Linked DNA regions of Anolis sagrei. The protein of the gene in region 1 interacts with the protein of each later gene in a pairwise test. Links are inferred from orthologs where the notes say so. Each region holds a gene or a part of one and is shown on either strand. Other genes may lie near its edges.

The links.
Region 2: the proteins of SMYD1 (region 1) and ZBTB44 interact in binary tests that used the Homo sapiens proteins (3 or more experiments, as listed by UniProt). The link is inferred for Anolis sagrei from reciprocal best matches to the Homo sapiens genes SMYD1 and ZBTB44.
Region 3: the proteins of SMYD1 (region 1) and FAM204A interact in binary tests that used the Homo sapiens proteins (3 or more experiments, as listed by UniProt). The link is inferred for Anolis sagrei from reciprocal best matches to the Homo sapiens genes SMYD1 and FAM204A.

What each region holds. Positions count from the first base shown.
Region 1 is NC_090026.1:54,919,496-54,926,530, reverse strand, and holds the start of SMYD1 (histone-lysine N-methyltransferase SMYD1), read left to right. Parts: upstream 1-4,007; 5' UTR 4,008-4,335; coding exon 4,336-4,457; intron 4,458-7,035. UniProt on the Homo sapiens protein: Methylates histone H3 at 'Lys-4' (H3K4me), seems able to perform both mono-, di-, and trimethylation. Acts as a transcriptional repressor. Essential for cardiomyocyte differentiation and cardiac morphogenesis.
Region 2 is NC_090027.1:32,875,886-32,883,450, reverse strand, and holds the start of ZBTB44 (zinc finger and BTB domain-containing protein 44), read right to left. Parts: upstream 3,023-7,565; 5' UTR 2,596-3,022; intron 1-2,595. UniProt on the Homo sapiens protein: May be involved in transcriptional regulation.
Region 3 is NC_090023.1:203,236,801-203,244,525, reverse strand, and holds the start of FAM204A (protein FAM204A), read right to left. Parts: upstream 3,023-7,725; 5' UTR 809-3,022; coding exon 673-808; intron 1-672.

The DNA of each region.
Region 1 (7,035 bases):
CAGAGGGCGACCGTACGAGTCCTTCAGAGCAAAGGTCAAAATATCCATCTCTCTTATTTCACATATTTTTGTTATCCATTCTTCTTTTGATGGCACTTTATTCGATTTCCAGTATCTCGCAAAAACTATTCTCGCCGCAGTTGTTAGATAGGTTAGTAGAATATCCTTGTTCGTGTCCAGTTCCCATTCTTCTTCAAAGATACCTAGCAGGTAACTTTCTGCTTTGGTGTATAACTTCATCTCCAGTATTTCTTCGCAGGAGTCATTTATCTTCTTCCAATATGTTTGGGCTATAGGGCAAGTCCACCACTGATGGAAGAAAGTTCCGACTTGCTTTTCACACTTCCAACAGTTGTTCTTGATGTTTTTGTACATGAGTCCCAATTTCTGGGGCGTCATATACCATCTGTGGAAGAGCTTATACCAATTTTCTCTTAAATCTGTGGAGTAGGTGTACTTTATCTTCTTGCTCCAGATTTTTTCCCATTCTTCTAGTTTGATGGGTCTGCCGATGTTCCTTGCCCATTTTATCATACACTCCTTGACTGTTTCTGTCTCCGTCTTCCAGCCAAGTAGCATATTATAAATACATGTGATGTATTCACTAAGAACTTCAGAATCTGTCATGTCTTTTCTCTCCTTCTTTATAAAAGACATGAACTTCAGAATCTGTCATGTCTTTTATAAAGAAAGAGAGAAAAGACATGACAGATTCTGAAGTTCTTAGTGATTTTTAGGACAGTGGCTGACTCATTCTTCACCACATGATGGAGCTATTTTACTGAGTTCTCTCTGACCCGAGATAAGAATGAAATTAATGTCTTAAATTAGTGGAATGTGTTTCTACCGAGTGGTATACTAGACAAATTCAGTAATAAAGCTCACCTCTTCTCCAACAGGTCAAGTACAGGCTTTGTCTTGTAGCTGTGATTTGTGTTGAAGCCAGAACCCTGGCTGGCATTTAATAACCTTCTGCTTTTCAGTTATTTTCAGCAAGACAGTTATTCCAAAGCAGAGAGCTTTGAGATAGTAGAACTGAAGCTCTCCGAAGCTCTAGGTGCCCTTACCGCCTACTACAGGGAAAACCAGCTGATCCCTGATCCATCTGAAACACAGACATGTGCCTTTCACCTTAAGAACAGACAAGCATCCCGAGCTCTGAGGATTACCTGGGAAGGAATCCCACTGGAGCATTGCAGAACACCCAAATACCTGAGAGTCACCCTGGACCATGCTCTGACCTACAAGAAGCACTGCCTGAATATCAAGCAAAAAGTGGGTGCTAGAAACAATATCATACGAAAGCTTATTGGCACAACCTGGGGATCACAACCAGACACAGTGAAGACATCTGCCTTTGTGCTATGCTACTCTGCTGCTGAGTATGCATGCCCAGTGTGGAACACATCTCACCACTCTAAAACAGTGGATGTGGCTCTTAATGGGACATGCCGCATTATATCAGCAAACTGATATAATTAGTTCACTCCGTTATTAGGAAGAAACTTAAAAATATTGCTGCCAAAACCACTGTTAAATATTGTCCTTCCTCCAGTATTTTAAATACAACCAACAGGTGCAAGAGTAGCATCAGGGTTTTCACAAGGAGTGGGCAACTTGTGGCCTTCCAAATGCTTCTTGGATTGCAAGTCCTATTGTCCTGAGCTTTATTAATTTAGGGAGATGAAGCTGTGGTCCAGTAACCTCTAGAAGCCGTGTAACCAGGCATGTAGCCGGGGGGGGGGGGGGGGGGGGCTTGAGGGGTTTCAGCCCCCCCCCCCCCAAATTCTCAGGGTGATCCACGAGAAGGCCTATACACACTTTCTTTCAGACTATAGCTCCCAGCATCTAAGCTGCAAGCTTTCTTCTCCTTCAGGCATGTAGCCGGGGGGGGGGGGGGCAGGGCTTGAGGGGCTTCAGCCCCCCCCCCCCGAAATTCTCAGGGTGGTCCGTGAGAAGGCTTTACTGGTACATTATTTAAACTGTTATGTTTATTCATATCATGATCTGATCATGATACTCAATATATCCCATATGCATGGGGGTATTGGGATAATGATACAAAAGGTTTACTAGGGTAGATCCTCACCCCCCCCCCCCAAATCAAACTGACCCTACCCCCTCGAATCCTGACTACGGGCCTGCATGTAACCCATTGCCCACCCTTACTATGAATCAGAAACATTGAAAATATTATAGAATAGTGGAACTTGCAATATAAATGCGTTGTTAACAGCTTTTCACTTACTCATTTTAGTGAGTTTTTTAACTAAATTCTTTTAATAATTGTAACATTTAACTCTATTTATATTTATATTTTGTAGGTTTTTCCATTATAAAATTTTAAAGTTGTGAGCCACTTTGGATCACAGTTCTAAGAGAAAACAGGAAAATAACAACAACAACAACAACATTAACCAATCAAATTTGTTTAATTTTCACAACTAGGTTGTGGAATCTACCCATTGCAGAACACAGAATTTGACTTAATGTGATGCAAAAACTTCTTTTTCATTTTTATTTTAGCACTCAAGACCTACCTACACTCTTGGTCGGGTTCCTATTGGCTTGAGAATAACCTAGCATTTACCCACGAGACGAGCAAAGATGTCACGTCTGGGTTGTTGTAGGTTTTTCGAGCTGTATGGCTACGTTCTAGAAGCATTTTCTCCTGACGTTGTCACATCTGCTTCAGAAGGTGGTGCCAGACTTCTCTGAAACCTTCGAACTCCTTCCACCAGCTTCTACCATCGTATTGTCGAAGGCTTTCATGGCCGGATTCACTGGGTTGTTGTAGGTTTTTCGGGCTATATGGCCATGTTCTAGAGGCATTTCTCCTGACATTTCGTCTGCATCTATGGCAAGCATCTATGGCACTACCTCTGAGTATGCTTGCCATAGATGCAGGTGAAACGTCAGGAGAAAAGCCTCTAGAACAGTGGTTCTCAACCTTCCTAATGGTGTGACCCCTTAATACAGTCCCCCATGTTGTGGTGACCCCCAACCATAATATTGTTTTCATTGCTACTTCATAACAGTCATTTTCCTACTGTTATAAATCATAATGTAAATATCTGATATTCAGGATTCATTTTCATTCACTGGACCAAACTGGGCACAAATACCCAATACACCCAAATGTGAATGCTAGTGGGGTTGGGCGAGGATTGATTTTGTAATTTGGGAGTTGTAGTTACTAGGATTTATAGTTCACTTATAATCAAAGAGCATTCTGAACTCCACCAGCGATGGATTTGAACCAAACTTGGCTCCCATGACCAATGGAAAACATTGGAAGGGTTTGATGGACATTGACCTTGAGTTTGGGAGTTGTAGTTCACCTATATCCAGAGAGCACTGTGGACTCATGCAATGGTAGATCTGGACCAAACTTGGCATGAATACTCAATATGCCCAAATGTGAACACTGGTGGAGTCCGGGGAAAATAGACCTTGACATTTGGGAGTTGTCGTTGCTGGGATTCATAGTTCATTACAATCAAAGAACATTCTGAACTCCACCAACAATAGAATTGGCTCAAACTTCCCACATGGAATCCCCATGACCATCAGAAAATACTATGTTTTCTTATGGTCTTTGGCGACCACTCTGACACACCCTCGCGACCCCCTCAGGGGTCCCCAGGTTGAGAAACACTGCTCTAGAACATGGCCATATAGCCCGAAAAAACCCTACAACAACCCAGCTTCTACCATCGTTTCAGTTGGTGTCCTGTGAGCAACTTCTGTGCTGCAAAGAGTATATTTTCAGTCTGTGATCTTCCAAAATACAGCCACACAGAGAAGTCTTTTGTGTCAACTAAACGTAGCATTGTTTCAGTTCGTTTTTTAAAAAAGCAGATAGCATAGACTCTTCCTGCGTGTTGCATACCAGCCATGCTACTTAGCACTTTCTCAGCTGTTGGCCCCTGACAGGCAGAAGCATGTGGTTTCTAAAAATACTTCCCAAGAACACGCATTATCTTCCCAATAGGAGAGTGTAAACTAAATGTTGTGTTGGAAGCACAAGAATGTTGGATTTTGGAAAGAAGGTTGTTTCTTCATTTTCCTAATGAAGCAAACACTTACCATAGATAGATGTAGCTCACCTTTTTCTTCTCTAACCCCCATCCCCTACAAAGCCACTTTGGCAACCTGAATAATGCCCCCCTTTTCCCTATGGAAATGCAGTACTAGATGGGAGGTGCACAGAGACAGCCCATTGAGAGGAGTGGTCCTTTGAAAGCTTTAAAGAGCAGAAGTGATAAGAGATTTGAGTCACTTGGAATTGTCCCGTGTTACAAGCTTGGATAGCCTGAGGAAACAAAAGGAGGCATGGAAACAGTGGAGGTGTTTGACACGGATGGCAAAGGCAGGGGGCTGAAGACAAGCAAGGAATTTTGGGCTGGAGATGTAATTTTTGCAGAACGAGCCTATGCTGCAGTAGTATTTGACAGGTAAGAAAGAAAAATGACAATGGTGTTGCAGTGAAGCAAGGAGAGACTACATGAAAGAGCTGGTGAATTGACCGTATGGAATTTGTTGCATGACTTGGGATGTTATTTATTAATAAGATGATGAGCATTTCAGGATGTGAGAAATACTTCTCAGGAACTTGGGCTAGTCTGCAGTTGGGCTTCTTAAACGTTTTCCACTCATGACCCTTTCCCACCTGAGAGATGTTCATGTGACCCCAGATATATATAGGTATATAAAAGAGGAATAAAAAACAATAGATAAATATCTATATAAATAAAAATTTAATGTTCGTTTGTGGAATTAACAGAACTCAAAAACCACTGGACGAATTGCTGCCAAATTTGGCCACAAGACACCTATTAAACCAAGGAGTGACCACTCAAAAAATTGATTTTGTCATTCGGGAGTTGTAGTCGCTGGGAGTTATAGTTTACTTACAATCAAAGAGCATTCTGAACTCCACCAATGATGGAATTGAACCAAACGTGGCATACAGGACTCCCATGAACAATAGAAAACACTAGAAGGGTTTGGTGGGCATTGACCTTGAGTTTGGGAGTTGTAGTTCACCTACATCCAGAGAGCACTGTGGATTCTAACAATGATGGATCTGGACCAAACTTGGCACAAATATTCCATATGCCCAAATATGAACACAGATGGAATTTGAGGAAAATAGATCTTGACATTTGGGAGTTGTTGTTGCTGGGATTTATAGTTCACCTACAATCAAAGAGCATTCTGAACTCCACCAATGATAGAATTGGGCCAAACTTCCCATACAGAACCCCCATGACCAACAGAAAATATTGTTTTCTGATGGTTTTGGTGACCCCTGTGACACCCCTTTATGACCTCTGCAGGGGTCCCGATCCTCAGGTTGAGAAATACTGCCTTAAGCCCATCCAGTCCAACTCCCTTCACCAGGGCAAGAAAACATAACCAGAGCCCTCCTGACAAAGAGCCATCCTAAAAAGCAAAAAAACAAACAAAAAACAACAACAACAAAACCCAAAAAAACCTCACCACATTACAACGCATGTGCAAAACCACACACACACACATGCACACACACATATACACAAATATATACACATATATACATACAAAGCACATATACACAGACTGGGCCACAGCAATGCGTGGCAGGGGATGGCTAGTAGGTACAAAGATTTATTGATAATAACTCAGCATTTGCAAGGCTTACTAAATAGGCTGATTTTCCTTTTTGCAGAATACAGCTGAAGCATTTTCTGCAGAATCCATTGTAAATATTGCAGATTGTTGCCAACAGATTCGTGTGAGCGGCATTCAAAAAACCTCCCAAAATTTTTGTGATGCCAATAAAATAGAATAACTTTATTGTCATTGTACAATGAAATCCAATGCTTTCCCCAGCACACACCACAAAACAACACGCTCATCCCTCCACACTCCCACCACCACCACATAGCTTCCAATGCCACATCAAAGCGAAGCCATGGAGTTCAATATAGTTACAGCTCTAGGATAAAAATTGTCTCTCAGTTTGTTTGTCACTCTGTACCATTTGCCAAATGGTAATAATTTAAGAAACAAATATGTCAGCTGAGATGGATCCCCAAGAATGCACTGAACTTTCTTAAGGCTGCAGGACCTACAAAGTTCTTCCAAAGAGGGTCATTTTCATTAGGCGATCCCTTGTTGTCCGAGTAGGATAGTCTTCCAAGATCAGTGTACTGGTGGTGACCGTAGGTGACTGTGGAGCCCAATTCTTGATTTGCATCTTCTCCCGCAATGAGGGCATTGGTTTCCAGGTGGAAGGCAATCCCGGTCGGGGTTGGCTTGATGCGCCTTTCTCTTGGCACGTTTCTCTCTTTCACCCTCCAGTTGTGCCTCTTCAAATTCTACAGCACTGCTGGTCACAGCTGACCTCCAGCTGGAGCGCTCAAGGGCCAGGGCTTCCCAGTTCTCAGTGTCTATGCCAGAGTTTTTGAGGTTGGCTTTGAGCCCATTTTTAAATCTCTTTTCCTGTCCACCAACATTTCGTTTTCCGTTCTTGAGTTCGGAATAGAGCAACTGCTTTGGGGGACGGTGGTCGGGCAGCTAGACAATGTGGCCGGTCCAGCAGAGCTGATGGTGGAAGACCATCGCTTCAGTGCTGGTGGTCTTTGTTTCTTCCAGCACGCTGACATTTGTCCGCTTGTCTTCCCAAGAGATCTGCAGGATTTTTCAAAGAGGGTAGAATGCAACCAATGATACTCTGTGCAGAAGTGGTGATCCTTTGGAGCGCCTTCCTATCTGCCACTGTGCAGTTACCAAACCATGCACAGATGCAGTAGGTTAGGACCCTCTCTATAGCACAGTGACAATTTTTGTTCAGTTGTTGGTTTCTTAAAGGTTTCAATATTGAACTAAGGGGATGCAGTGGTCTAGAGTGACCCAGCAGAGTGACTAATCCACTTTAGAGTATCTGTTGTGAATTTGCTAAATTATCTTAGGCAATTTCCTAACCCTTAATCTCATCCTCCTAACGTGAAATCTAGGGTTCTTGTGCATTGTGCATAGAAAGAAGCA
Region 2 (7,565 bases), on another chromosome or scaffold:
GGTTTTATTTTATTGTTTTTAATTTATTTTATTGTATTGTATTTCTGGGCTTGGCCTCCCCTTTGGGGAGATGGTGGCGGGGTATAAATAAAGATAATAATGCTGCTGATGATGATGATGATTATTATTAACACACACACACACATATATGTATGTGACAGATATAATATCATAGATTTGAAAAGGACCCTTAAAGAAGGACAATTATAAGTTGCATGTTCCAGAGTAGACAAACCAGACTATCTCTATATGTTTACCCACAAGACATTACATATATTAGAAACAAACACTTTCTCATTACTTTATTTTCCAGAACACCAGACTGGGCCACAGCAACGTGTGGCAGGGGATAGCCAGTATATTATATATTATTATACTGTACTTTATTATTATTCCATACTATATATATATACTACCAGTATATTACGTTGTTTAGAAGAGGAGGAAAGGGGGGGGGGGGTCTGAATGGATTTTGTCATTTGGGAGTTGTAGTTGGTGGGATTTATAGTTCATCTACAATCCAAGAGTATTCTGAACTCCACCAACGGTGGAATTGAACCAAACTTGGCACACAGAACTCCCATCACCAGCAGAAAATACTGGAAGGGTTTGGTGGGCATTGACCTTGAGTTTTGGAGTTGTAGTTCACCTATATCCAGAGAGCACTGTGGACTCAAACAATGACAGATCCGGACCAAACTTTGAGCGAATATTCCATATGCCCAAATATGAACACAGATGGAGTTTGGGGGAAATATACCTTGACATTTGTGAGTTGTAGTCACTGGGATTTATAGTTCACCTACAATCAAAGAGCATTCTGAACCCCACAAACAATAGGGGCAAACTTCCCACACAGAACCCCCATGACCAACAGAAAATACTGTATTTTCTGGTGGCCTTTGGCGACCCCTCTTGACACCACCTTGTGACCTCCCCAGACATGCTGCCTTAAGGCCATCCAGTCCGTCACCAGGGCAAGAAAACAAAGCCTTCCTGATAAAGAGTCATCCAGCCATATATATAGATAGATATATATGATTCTCTCTCACACATATATGTACATGACAGATGTAGTACAGATTTGAAAGGGACCCCTAAAGGACAATTATCTGTTGCATATTCCAGAGTAGGCCAACCAGACTATCTCCACATCAACACTGACGAAGAAAATACTTAAGGCCATCCAATCCAGCTCCCTTCACTAGGGCAAGAAAACATAATCAAAGGTCTCCTGACAAAGAGCCATCCTGCCATAGATATACTAGTGATCCCCTGCCACGCGTTGCTGTGGCCCAGTCTGGTGATCTGGAAAATAAAGTAATGAGAAAGTGTTGGTTTCTAATATATGCAATGTCTTTATGCTTGTGAGTAAACAGTATTTCTTGCTGTTTCTTTGCCAGGGTTGTGGAGATTGTCTGGTTTGCCTACTCTGGAACATGCAACATATCATTGTCCTTCTGTAGGGATTCCTTTCAAATCTATGATACTGCATCTGTCATATACATATATATGTGTGTGTGTGAATGGCTGGATAGCCCTTTGTCAGGAGGGCTTTGATTATGTTTTCTTGCTCTGGTGAAGGGATTGGACTGGATGGCCTTAAGGCTGCCTTTCTCAACCTGGGGTTTGGGACCCCTGGGGAGGTTGCGAGGGGGTGTCAGAAGGATCATCAAAGACCAAAAGAAAACACAGTATTTTCTGTTGGTCATGGGAGTTGTGTGTGCCATATTTGGTTCAATTCCATCATTGGTGGAGTTCAGAATGCTCTTTGAGTGTAGGTGAACTATAAATCCCAGCAACTATAACTCCCAAATGACAAAATCATAATTTTTGAGTGATGGTCACTCCTTGTGTTGTGAGACATTTTGTTGCCAAATTTGGTGTGATTTTGTTCATTGGTTCTTTTGTTTTTAAGGTACTCATTATGCACAGAGCATTTACATATATATATATATAGATAGATAGATAGATATATGATTCACACACACAGAGAGATACAGTATCATAGATTTGAAAGGGACCCCTAAAGAAGGACAATAATATGTTGCATGTTCCAGAGTAGGCAAACCTGATAATCTCCACATCAACACTGACAAAGAAACAACAAGAAATACTGTTTATCCACAAGCATCAAGACATTGCATATATTAGAAACCAACACTTTCTCATTACTTTATTTTCCAGAACACCAGACTGGGCCACAGCAACGCCTGGCAGGGGACAGCTAGTATATTATATATTATATTGTACTTTATTATTATGCCACAATATATATAATACACTACGATGTTCAGAGAAGGAAAGATGAGGAGGAAGGGGGGGGGGTTCTGAATGGAGGAGTAAATAAAGGCGGAGGGGCGGGGCAGGATCCCGAGGGGGCGGGGCTTGCCTGTCCCCGCCTCATTCCCACCACTATTATTATTGTTATCGTTTATTTCTATGGCGCCATCAAGGTGCGCGCCAGCCTTACAAGCAAAACAACCCCGAAGCAAGCACACAGGCACATTTCCCAGCTCAGGGGCGACGGTGGCCCTTAAGGGACTTCCCACAGAAAAGGCGCTCCTCTTCCTCCCATCCCAGCCCCTTCATTACCTGCGTTTGGCGAGGCCCTCTCCTTCTCCGGGCCCGGGGTATTGACGTCTCTTTATTTTTAACCTGCGTGTGCGGGCGGGAAGCCGGCCTTTCCCTTTTTTTTCCCGTCGCCTCGGCTTCCGCCGCCGCCTCCCCCTAGCTGGCCCCGCGCGTAGGCCCCTTTTGGGCCATGGCGGCCACCGTCGCCGCCACCCCCCCTCCCACCCACCACAGCCGTTGGGCTTCCCCTGCGCTCGCGCCGCGGGCGTTGGGAAAACGGGGAGGGGAGGGGGGGAAAGAGAGGAGGCAGAGGGCCCCGCGCAGGCGCACTGAGGGGGGAAGGGACGGTGGCGGCGCGCGGCCACTCACGCGCTCTCTCTCTCTCTCTCAATCCCTGTCTGCTCCCCCCGCCCCTCCCCTCTTCCTTCGCCGAGCCGGGCACTTTGTTTGTGTCCCACAATGCAACGCGGCGTCTGCTGAGGAAGCAAGCAAGCAAGCAGTGAGGGAGGGAGAGAGGAAAAAAATAGTAGGCGGGGTTAAATCAGGGAAAAGGGAAAGAGTGCGCGCATGCGCCTCGGAAGGGAGGGCGGGCGGGCTGAGCGGGAACGCGCTTGAGGGCGGGAGCGCGCGCGCGAGAGAGACCATTCCTACTGAGGAAGAGCTTCTCAAGGGAGGGAGGGAGGAGAGAAGAGCCATCTATCTAGATCTATTTATTTAACATCTATCTATCTATCTATCTATCCATCCATTTATCTATCTATCTATCTATCTATCTATCTATCTATCCATCTATCTATTTCTCTGTCTATCTATCCATCCATCCATCCATCCACAAACCCACCCATCCACAAACCCACCCATCCATCCATCCATCCATCTATCTATCCATCCATCCATCCACAAACCCACCCACCCACCCATCCATCCATCCATCCATCCACAAACCCACCCATCCATCCATCCATCCATCCATCCATCCATCCACAAACCCACCCATCCATCCATCCACAAACCCACCCATCCACCCACCCACCCATCCATCCATCCATCCATCCATCCACAAACCCACCCATCCACAAACCCACCCACCCACCCATCCACCCATCTATCTATCCATCCATCCACAAACCCACCCATCCATCCATCCACAAACCCACCCATCCATCCATCCACAAACCCACCCATCCACCCACCCATCCATCCATCCATCCACAAACCCACCCACCCATCCATCCATCCATCCATCCACCCACAAACCCACCCATCCACCCATCCATCCATCCACAAACCCACCCATCCACCCACCCATCCATCCATCCATCCACAAACCCACCCACCCACCCATCCATCCATCCATCCATCCACCCACAAACCCACCCATCCACCCACCCATCCATCCATCCACAAACCCACCCATCCACCCACCCATCCATCCATCCATCCACAAACCCACCCATCCATCCATCTATCCATCCATCCATCCATCCATCCACTAACCCACCCACCCATCCATCCATCCATCCACAAACCCACCCACCCATCCACCCATCCATCTATCTATCCATCCATCCACTAACCCACCCACCTACCCATCCATCCACCCACAAACCCACCCATCTACCCACCCATCCATCCATCCATCCATCTATCTAAATAAATAAATAAAAAGGTTATGTTCGTTTGCGGGATTAACAGAACTCAAAAACCACTGGATGAATTGACACCAAATTTGGCCACAAGACACCTAACAACCCAAGGAGTGACCAACACTAAAAAAATTGATTTTGTCATTTGGGAGTTGTAGTTGCTGGGATTTGGGTTTTGGAGGGAATAGGAGCCAGTTTGAGTTCAGTCCACACAGAAAAGCTTTCCATGCAGGACATAATACCAAGAGCTCCTGTAGAAAGCTTCGTCTTCTACAGCTTGGCCGGGGAGATATACAGCCTACAGCTTAGCTGAGGATCATACAGTCTTACAGCTCCTTTGCGGAGGGACTTCAGTCAACCATCACTGAAACCTGAACTCCTTTTCCCCTGGAGATCTACAAAGCTCTGCTTGGTAAGGGTCTCTCGCAGAGCCAGAAGCAGTTGTTACTGGGTGTAGGGGCTCCATGCCAACAGAGGCAAAGAAAGACTGCCCAGATTAGAAGTTAAGGATTTCCCCATTAGTTAAAATACCAGTCATGAAGATAGTGCCTGTTCCCTGTGGACAAGATTGAAAGAGCCAATAGACTGTTAAGAAAGCCTTAAAGCAGTGGTTCTCAACGTTCCTAATGCTGCGATCCCTTAATACCGTTCCTCAGGTTGTGGTGACCCCCAGCCATTAAATTATTTTCATTGCTACTTCATAATTGTAATTTTGCTACTGTTATAAATTGTTATGTAAATATCTGATATGCAGGATGTATTCTTATTCACTGGACCAAACTTGGCACAAATACCCAATATGCCCTGATTTGAATACTGGTGGGGTTGGGATGGGAGGATTGATTTTGTCATTTGGGAGTTGTAGTTGCTGGGATTTATAGTTCACCTACATTCAAAGAGCATTCTGAACTATACCAAACTGGTATAGTTCAGAATGAAACTGGACCAAACTTTGCACACAGAACTCCCATGACCAACGGAAAATACTGGAAGGGTTTGGTGGGCATTGACCTTGAGTTTGGGAGTTGTAGTTTGCCTACACCCAGAGAGCACTGTGGATTCAAACAATGAAGGATCTGGATCAAACTTGGCACAAATATTCAATATGCCCAAACGTGAACACTGAAGTTCGAGGAAAATAAACCTTTACATTTGGGAGTTGTAGTTGCTGGGATTTATAGTTCACCTACAACCAAAGAGCATCCAGAATTAGGCCAAACTTCCCACACAGAACTCCCATGACCAACAGAAAATATTGTCTGTGATGGTCTTTGGCGACCTCTCTGACACCCCCTCGCGACTCCTCCAGGGGTCCCGACCCCCAGGTTGAGAACCACTGCCTTAAAGTACCTGTTTGTTTTCATTAATAAAGAACTTTGTTGAACCTTTAAGCAATCTAAAGACTCTGTTTTAAGGAAATCCAAGGGCCTTTAATCTGAGGCATCCCCGGCATCCCCTTTGGGCACACAGAATTTATGTCCTGTCTACAGTCTTATGCACAGGCCCAGCATGCGACAGCACATATGCCATCTATGTATATGTATGTATATGAGTTTGTATGTATATATGACTCATCTTTACATAGAAACACACAGAGATATGATAAGAATCGTAAAGTATTTTACGGAAAAGTACCACATAAATGCAGGGTTTTGGGAGGTCCATTTTGGGGATAAAATTTCTAGATGTACATCCAATACTTGGAAAATAGCATCTGTATAAATGTATATATAAGTTACAGCCCGCCTTTCTGCCAGTATGGGGCCCAAGGCAGTTCACAATAGTCCAGCTGAAGTCTTATTGTAGGAAAGTTTCCAAAAAGATTAAACTATTTAAGCCAAAGGCTTACCAAGCATCTAGTTTTATAGCTTCTTTGAGTTTGGTCTTTTGAGAAGACCCTCGGACTTCACATGGAGTTTTGTCTCCTCATCCTGTAAAGGCTCAGCCCTCGTAATGTCACGTGCCACGATGCCCTTCCTTGTTTCTCCCTTTCGAAAGGACACTACTTGGTCAACTATCACCCTTGAACTGCTCAATGCCTTTCAGTATCGCATCATAATGGATCCTGATGATGACAAAACCGCCTCAGAATTTTCCATTGGGCCTCCATTCTGTTCTGGAGGCTGTTGTCAAGGTGAAGAGTTTTGCGAACCTCTCTTGTATAAGTGACTTACAAATTGCTGTGCTTTGTGAATGTTATTGCTGATTAAAGTTAACAAAAATATCAATCATCCAAATCAACTTTCCAAACATTGATTACAGCATACAAGGCTGTTCATAGTTCTGCAGCTGATGTGGGTTTTTAAAGTCAACCTTTCCTCTTTGCCTAAATTTTTTGTCTTTTAAACTATTGTGGTTAAAGTATTACAAACAAAGAGTAGAATTTATTCCTCCTCAGTCTCTTTTTTCTAGTTAGTTATTAAAGAGATCGCCTCTGAAAACAATGTAAGCCTATGCTTAAAATACAAACCAGTTAGTCTTAATCTTCTTCCTTCTCTGATTTGTGCCACAAAATCTCAACTTCTGAAACCATCTCCGCTCATGTTTAGGAGTATGAATGTGGAAGGGCAATGCTAAGGAAATTGTAACTTCCATTGAATTCAGTTACTGCTAACTATGCTCAATATCAAAATCTCAGTTTGTTAAAATACTGTATATTATGTAGAGAATCAGTATGGTAAAGTGGTTTGAGTGTTGGACTGGGGCAACTGGGAGACTAGGGTTCGAATCCCCATTTGGCCACAGAAAACCACTGAGCAGCCTTGGGCAACTTGCATTCTCTCAACCTCAGAGGAAGGCAAAGGTAAATCCCTCGTGAACAAATCTGTCCAGGAAAGTCACATAATTGGGTCGTTTTAGGGTTGCCATACGTTCAAAATGTCTTTAAGAAACGCAACAACAAATAAAATAGTCATAATGTTTTCCAATCAGAGGCTGCACAACTTAGATTGCCAATTTGCTGACCAGCAGTCAAGGAAAAAAGCTACTGTCTTCATGTCAGGCTTTTGGGTTTTCAAGAGTCATCTAGACCAGTGTTTCTCAACCTGTCAGAGGGGTCGCCAAAGACCATCAGAAAACACAGTATTTTCCGTTGGGCATTGGGGTTCTGTGTGAGAAGTTTGACCCAATTCTACCATTTGTTGGGTTCGGAATGCTCTTTGATTGTAGGTGAACACTAAATCCCAGCAACTACAACTCCCAAAAGTCTAGGTCTATTTTCCCCAAACTCCGTCAGTGTTCACATTTGGGCATATTGTGTATTTGTGCCAAGTTTGGTTCAGATCTATCATTGTTTGAGTCCAGAGTGCTCTCTAGATGTAGGTGAACCACAACTCCAAAACTCAT
Region 3 (7,725 bases), on another chromosome or scaffold:
TAAAGTTGTTTATTGTTATTATGTTGGAAAAAGAAAAAAGAAGATGATAGTGATGTTGCATCATTATAATTTCCACATCTCTCTCAGACTTAGGCTTAGACTGCATCACTTCCTTCATCGGCTTGCCTGTCTTTAAGTCATTCCCAACTTATTTCAAGCCTATAAAAGTTTTTTCTCCTTCAGTAGGACTTGCTTTCCTCTGAGGCTGAGACAGTGTGGCTTGCCCAAGATCACCCAATGGGTTTCCACAGCCACAAAGGAATTCAACCCTGGTTTAAAAGACCTGGGTTCGAATCCCTGCTCTGCCATGGAAAACCATTAAGTGACCTTGGGCAAGTCACACTCTCTCAGCCTCAAAGGATGGGACTGGCAAACCTCCAAGTAAAGCCTGTGATAAACGCGCCTTAGAATCGCTACTTGAAGGCACAAAAGAACGATAAAAAGTCATGGGATTTCTTTCCATATAAAGACTCTGTAGTAAGCCTGGGCAAACTTTGGCCTTCCAAGTATTTTGGATTCCAACTCCCACAATTCCTAACAGCCTCAAGCCCTTTCCTATCCCCATCAGCGGTTTAATGTCTATAAACCGAGATCTTCACCTCCTCCTTGAATAGTGCTTCCCATGCTTTAGGCCTCGAGAGTTTTTGGACCTCGTTTCCCAGAATTCCTTACCGTTGACCAAGCTGCTAGGGCTTCTGGGAGTTGAAGTCCCAACACGTTGAGGACCAAAGGTTGGGAAGGAAACGAGGAAAGCCTTTTTCTTTAAAGGAACTATCAAAACTCGGAGAAAAAGAAAGGCAGCGTCCATTTGGTCCCATTTGGTTTCACCCAAGCGCGGCCCAGGGCGATATGGCGGGATACGAATAAAGTTGTTTATTGTTATTATGTTGGGAAAAGATAAAGAAGATGATAGTGATGTTGCATCATTATAATTTCCACATCTCTCTCAGACTTAGGCTTCGACTGCATCACTTCCTTCATCGGCTTGCCTGTCTTTAAGTCATTCCCAACTTATTTCAAGCCTATAAAAGTTTTTTCTCCTTCAGTAGGACTTGCTTTCCTCTGAGGCTGAGACAGTGTGGCTTGCCCAAGATCACCCGATCGGTTTCCACAGCCACAAAGGAATTCAACCCTGGTTTAAAAGACCTGGGTTCGAATCCCTGCTCTGCCATGGAAAACCATTAAGTGACCTTGGGCAAGTCACACTCTCTCAGCCTCAAAGGATGGGACTGGCAAACCTCCAAGTAAAGCCTGTGATAAACGCGCCTTAGAATCGCTACTTGAAGGCACAAAAGAACGATTAAAAGTCATGGGATTTCTTTCCATATAAAGACTCTGTAGTAAGCCTGGGCAAACTTTGGCCTTCCAAGTATTTTGGATTCCAACTCCCACAATTCCTAACAGCCTCAAGCCCTTTCCTATCCCCATCAGCGGTTTAATGTCTATAAACCGAGATCTTCACCTCCTCCTTGAATAGTGCTTCCCATGCTTTAGGCCTCGAGAGTTTTTGGACCTCGTTTCCCAGAATTCCTTACCGTTGACCAAGCTGCTAGGGCTTCTGGGAGTTGAAGTCCCAACACGTCGAGGACCAAAGGTTGGGAAGGAAACGAGGAAAGCCTTTTTCTTTAAAGGAACTATCAAAACTCGGAGAAAAAGAAAGGCAGCGTCCATTTGGTCCCATTTGGTTTCACCCAAGCGCGGCCCAGGGCGATATGGCGGGATACGAATAAAGTTGTTTATTGTTATTATGTTGGGAAAAGATAAAGAAGATGATAGTGATGTTGCATCATTATAATTTCCACATCTCTCTCAGACTTAGGCTTCGACTGCATCACTTCCTTCATCGGCTTGCCTGTCTTTAAGTCATTCCCAACTTATTTCAAGCCTATAAAAGTTTTTTCTCCTTCAGTAGGACTTGCTTTCCTCTGAGGCTGAGACAGTGTGGCTTGCCCAAGATCACCCGATCGGTTTCCACAGCCACAAAGGAATTCAACCCTGGTTTAAAAGACCTGGGTTCGAATCCCTGCTCTGCCATGGAAAACCATTAAGTGACCTTGGGCAAGTCACACTCTCTCAGCCTCAAAGGATGGGACTGGCAAACCTCCAAGTAAAGCCTGTGATAAACGCGCCTTAGAATCGCTACTTGAAGGCACAAAAGAACGATTAAAAGTCATGGGATTTCTTTCCATATAAAGACTCTGTAGTAAGCCTGGGCAAACTTTGGCCTTCCAAGTATTTTGGATTCCAACTCCCACAATTCCTAACAGCCTCAAGCCCTTTCCTATCCCCATCAGCGGTTTAATGTCTATAAACCGAGATCTTCACCTCCTCCTTGAATAGTGCTTCCCATGCTTTAGGCCTCGAGAGTTTTTGGACCTCGTTTCCCAGAATTCCTTACCGTTGACCAAGCTGCTAGGGCTTCTGGGAGTTGAAGTCCCAACACGTCGAGGACCAAAGGTTGGGAAGGAAACGAGGAAAGCCTTTTTCTTTAAAGGAACTATCAAAACTCGGAGAAAAAGAAAGGCAGCGTCCATTTGGTCCCATTTGGTTTCACCCAAGCGCGGCCCAGGGCGATATGGCGGGATACGAATAAAGTTGTTTATTGTTATTATGTTGGGAAAAGATAAAGAAGATGATAGTGATGTTGCATCATTATAATTTCCACATCTCTCTCAGACTTAGGCTTCGACTGCATCACTTCCTTCATCGGCTTGCCTGTCTTTAAGTCATTCCCAACTTATTTCAAGCCTATAAAAGTTTTTTCTCCTTCAGTAGGACTTGCTTTCCTCTGAGGCTGAGACAGTGTGGCTTGCCCAAGATCACCCGATCGGTTTCCACAGCCACAAAGGAATTCAACCCTGGTTTAAAAGACCTGGGTTCGAATCCCTGCTCTGCCATGGAAAACCATTAAGTGACCTTGGGCAAGTCACACTCTCTCAGCCTCAAAGGATGGGACTGGCAAACCTCCAAGTAAAGCCTGTGATAAACGCGCCTTAGAATCGCTACTTGAAGGCACAAAAGAACGAAAAAAGTCATGGGATTTCTTTCCATATAAAGACTCTGTAGTAAGCCTGGGCAAACTTTGGCCTTCCAAGTATTTTGGATTCCAACTCCCACAATTCCTAACAGCCTCAAGCCCTTTCCTATCCCCATCAGCGGTTTAATGTCTATAAACCGAGATCTTCACCTCCTCCTTGAATAGTGCTTCCCATGCTTTAGGCCTCGAGAGTTTTTGGACCTCGTTTCCCAGAATTCCTTACCGTTGACCAAGCTGCTAGGGCTTCTGGGAGTTGAAGTCCCAACACGTCGAGGACCAAAGGTTGGGAAGGAAACGAGGAAAGCCTTTTTCTTTAAAGGAACTATCAAAACTCGGAGAAAAAGAAAGGCAGCGTCCATTTGGTCCCATTTGGTTTCACCCAAGCGCGGCCCAGGGCGATATGGCGGGATACGAATAAAGTTGTTTATTGTTATTATGTTGGGAAAAGATAAAGAAGATGATAGTGATGTTGCATCATTATAATTTCCACATCTCTCTCAGACTTAGGCTTCGACTGCATCACTTCCTTCATCGGCTTGCCTGTCTTTAAGTCATTCCCAACTTATTTCAAGCCTATAAAAGTTTTTTCTCCTTCAGTAGGACTTGCTTTCCTCTGAGGCTGAGACAGTGTGGCTTGCCCAAGATCACCCGATCGGTTTCCACAGCCACAAAGGAATTCAACCCTGGTTTAAAAGACCTGGGTTCGAATCCCTGCTCTGCCATGGAAAACCATTAAGTGACCTTGGGCAAGTCACACTCTCTCAGCCTCAAAGGATGGGACTGGCAAACCTCCAAGTAAAGCCTGTGATAAACGCGCCTTAGAATCGCTACTTGAAGGCACAAAAGAACGATAAAAAGTCATGGGATTTCTTTCCATATAAAGACTCTGTAGTAAGCCTGGGCAAACTTTGGCCTTCCAAGTATTTTGGATTCCAACTCCCACAATTCCTAACAGCCTCAAGCCCTTTCCTATCCCCATCAGCGGTTTAATGTCTATAAACCGAGATCTTCACCTCCTCCTTGAATAGTGCTTCCCATGCTTTAGGCCTCGAGAGTTTTTGGACCTCGTTTCCCAGAATTCCTTACCGTTGACCAAGCTGCTAGGGCTTCTGGGAGTTGAAGTCCCAACACGTCGAGGACCAAAGGTTGGGAAGGAAACGAGGAAAGCCTTTTTCTTTAAAGGAACTATCAAAACTCGGAGAAAAAGAAAGGCAGCGTCCATTTGGTCCCATTTGGTTTCACCCAAGCGCGGCCCAGGGCGATATGGCGGGATACGAATAAAGTTGTTTATTGTTATTATGTTGGGAAAAGATAAAGAAGATGATAGTGATGTTGCATCATTATAATTTCCACATCTCTCTCAGACTTAGGCTTCGACTGCATCACTTCCTTCATCGGCTTGCCTGTCTTTAAGTCATTCCCAACTTATTTCAAGCCTATAAAAGTTTTTTCTCCTTCAGTAGGACTTGCTTTCCTCTGAGGCTGAGACAGTGTGGCTTGCCCAAGATCACCCGATCGGTTTCCACAGCCACAAAGGAATTCAACCCTGGTTTAAAAGACCTGGGTTCGAATCCCTGCTCTGCCATGGAAAACCATTAAGTGACCTTGGGCAAGTCACACTCTCTCAGCCTCAAAGGATGGGACTGGCAAACCTCCAAGTAAAGCCTGTGATAAACGCGCCTTAGAATCGCTACTTGAAGGCACAAAAGAACGATAAAAAGTCATGGGATTTCTTTCCATATAAAGACTCTGTAGTAAGCCTGGGCAAACTTTGGCCTTCCAAGTATTTTGGATTCCAACTCCCACAATTCCTAACAGCCTCAAGCCCTTTCCTATCCCCATCAGCGGTTTAATGTCTATAAACCGAGATCTTCACCTCCTCCTTGAATAGTGCTTCCCATGCTTTAGGCCTCGAGAGTTTTTGGACCTCGTTTCCCAGAATTCCTTACCGTTGACCAAGCTGCTAGGGCTTCTGGGAGTTGAAGTCCCAACACGTCGAGGACCAAAGGTTGGGAAGGAAACGAGGAAAGCCTTTTTCTTTAAAGGAACTATCAAAACTCGGAGAAAAAGAAAGGCAGCGTCCATTTGGTCCCATTTGGTTTCACCCAAGCGCGGCCCAGGGCGATATGGCGGGATACGAATAAAGTTGTTTATTGTTATTATGTTGGGAAAAGATAAAGAAGATGATAGTGATGTTGCATCATTATAATTTCCACATCTCTCTCAGACTTAGGCTTCGACTGCATCACTTCCTTCATCGGCTTGCCTGTCTTTAAGTCATTCCCAACTTATTTCAAGCCTATAAAAGTTTTTTCTCCTTCAGTAGGACTTGCTTTCCTCTGAGGCTGAGACAGTGTGGCTTGCCCAAGATCACCCGATCGGTTTCCACAGCCACAAAGGAATTCAACCCTGGTTTAAAAGACCTGGGTTCGAATCCCTGCTCTGCCATGGAAAACCATTAAGTGACCTTGGGCAAGTCACACTCTCTCAGCCTCAAAGGATGGGACTGGCAAACCTCCAAGTAAAGCCTGTGATAAACGCGCCTTAGAATCGCTACTTGAAGGCACAAAAGAACGATTAAAAGTCATGGGATTTCTTTCCATATAAAGACTCTGTAGTAAGCCTGGGCAAACTTTGGCCTTCCAAGTATTTTGGATTCCAACTCCCACAATTCCTAACAGCCTCAAGCCCTTTCCTATCCCCATCAGCGGTTTAATGTCTATAAACCGAGATCTTCACCTCCTCCTTGAATAGTGCTTCCCATGCTTTAGGCCTCGAGAGTTTTTGGACCTCGTTTCCCAGAATTCCTTACCGTTGACCAAGCTGCTAGGGCTTCTGGGAGTTGAAGTCCCAACACGTCGAGGACCAAAGGTTGGGAAGGAAACGAGGAAAGCCTTTTTCTTTAAAGGAACTATCAAAACTCGGAGAAAAAGAAAGGCAGCGTCCATTTGGTCCCATTTGGTTTCACCCAAGCGCGGCCCAGGGCGATATGGCGGGATACGAATAAAGTTGTTTATTGTTATTATGTTGGGAAAAGATAAAGAAGATGATAGTGATGTTGCATCATTATAATTTCCACATCTCTCTCAGACTTAGGCTTCGACTGCATCACTTCCTTCATCGGCTTGCCTGTCTTTAAGTCATTCCCAACTTATTTCAAGCCTATAAAAGTTTTTTCTCCTTCAGTAGGACTTGCTTTCCTCTGAGGCTGAGACAGTGTGGCTTGCCCAAGATCACCCGATCGGTTTCCACAGCCACAAAGGAATTCAACCCTGGTTTAAAAGACCTGGGTTCGAATCCCTGCTCTGCCATGGAAAACCATTAAGTGACCTTGGGCAAGTCACACTCTCTCAGCCTCAAAGGATGGGACTGGCAAACCTCCAAGTAAAGCCTGTGATAAACGCGCCTTAGAATCGCTACTTGAAGGCACAAAAGAACGATAAAAAGTCATGGGATTTCTTTCCATATAAAGACTCTGTAGTAAGCCTGGGCAAACTTTGGCCTTCCAAGTATTTTGGATTCCAACTCCCACAATTCCTAACAGCCTCAAGCCCTTTCCTATCCCCATCAGCGGTTTAATGTCTATAAACCGAGATCTTCACCTCCTCCTTGAATAGTGCTTCCCATGCTTTAGGCCTCGAGAGTTTTTGGACCTCGTTTCCCAGAATTCCTTACCGTTGACCAAGCTGCTAGGGCTTCTGGGAGTTGAAGTCCCAACACGTCGAGGACCAAAGGTTGGGAAGGAAACGAGGAAAGCCTTTTTCTTTAAAGGAACTATCAAAACTCGGAGAAAAAGAAAGGCAGCGTCCATTTGGTCCCATTTGGTTTCACCCAAGCGCGGCCCAGGGCGATATGGCGGGATACGAATAAAGTTGTTTATTGTTATTATGTTGGGAAAAGATAAAGAAGATGATAGTGATGTTGCATCATTATAATTTCCACATCTCTCTCAGACTTAGGCTTCGACTGCATCACTTCCTTCATCGGCTTGCCTGTCTTTAAGTCATTCCCAACTTATTTCAAGCCTATAAAAGTTTTTTCTCCTTCAGTAGGACTTGCTTTCCTCTGAGGCTGAGACAGTGTGGCTTGCCCAAGATCACCCGATCGGTTTCCACAGCCACAAAGGAATTCAACCCTGGTTTAAAAGACCTGGGTTCGAATCCCTGCTCTGCCATGGAAAACCATTAAGTGACCTTGGGCAAGTCACACTCTCTCAGCCTCAAAGGATGGGACTGGCAAACCTCCAAGTAAAGCCTGTGATAAACGCGCCTTAGAATCGCTACTTGAAGGCACAAAAGAACGATTAAAAGTCATGGGATTTCTTTCCATATAAAGACTCTGTAGTAAGCCTGGGCAAACTTTGGCCTTCCAAGTATTTTGGATTCCAACTCCCACAATTCCTAACAGCCTCAAGCCCTTTCCTATCCCCATCAGCGGTTTAATGTCTATAAACCGAGATCTTCACCTCCTCCTTGAATAGTGCTTCCCATGCTTTAGGCCTCGAGAGTTTTTGGACTTCGTTTCCCAGAATTCCTTACCGTTGACCAAGCTGCTAGGGCTTCTGGGAGTTGAAGTCCCAACACGTTGAGGACCAAAGGTTGGGAAGCCCAGAGGAAACGAGGAAAGCCTTTTTATTTAAAGGAACTATCAAAACTCGGAGAAAAAGAAAGGCAGCGTCCATTTGGTCC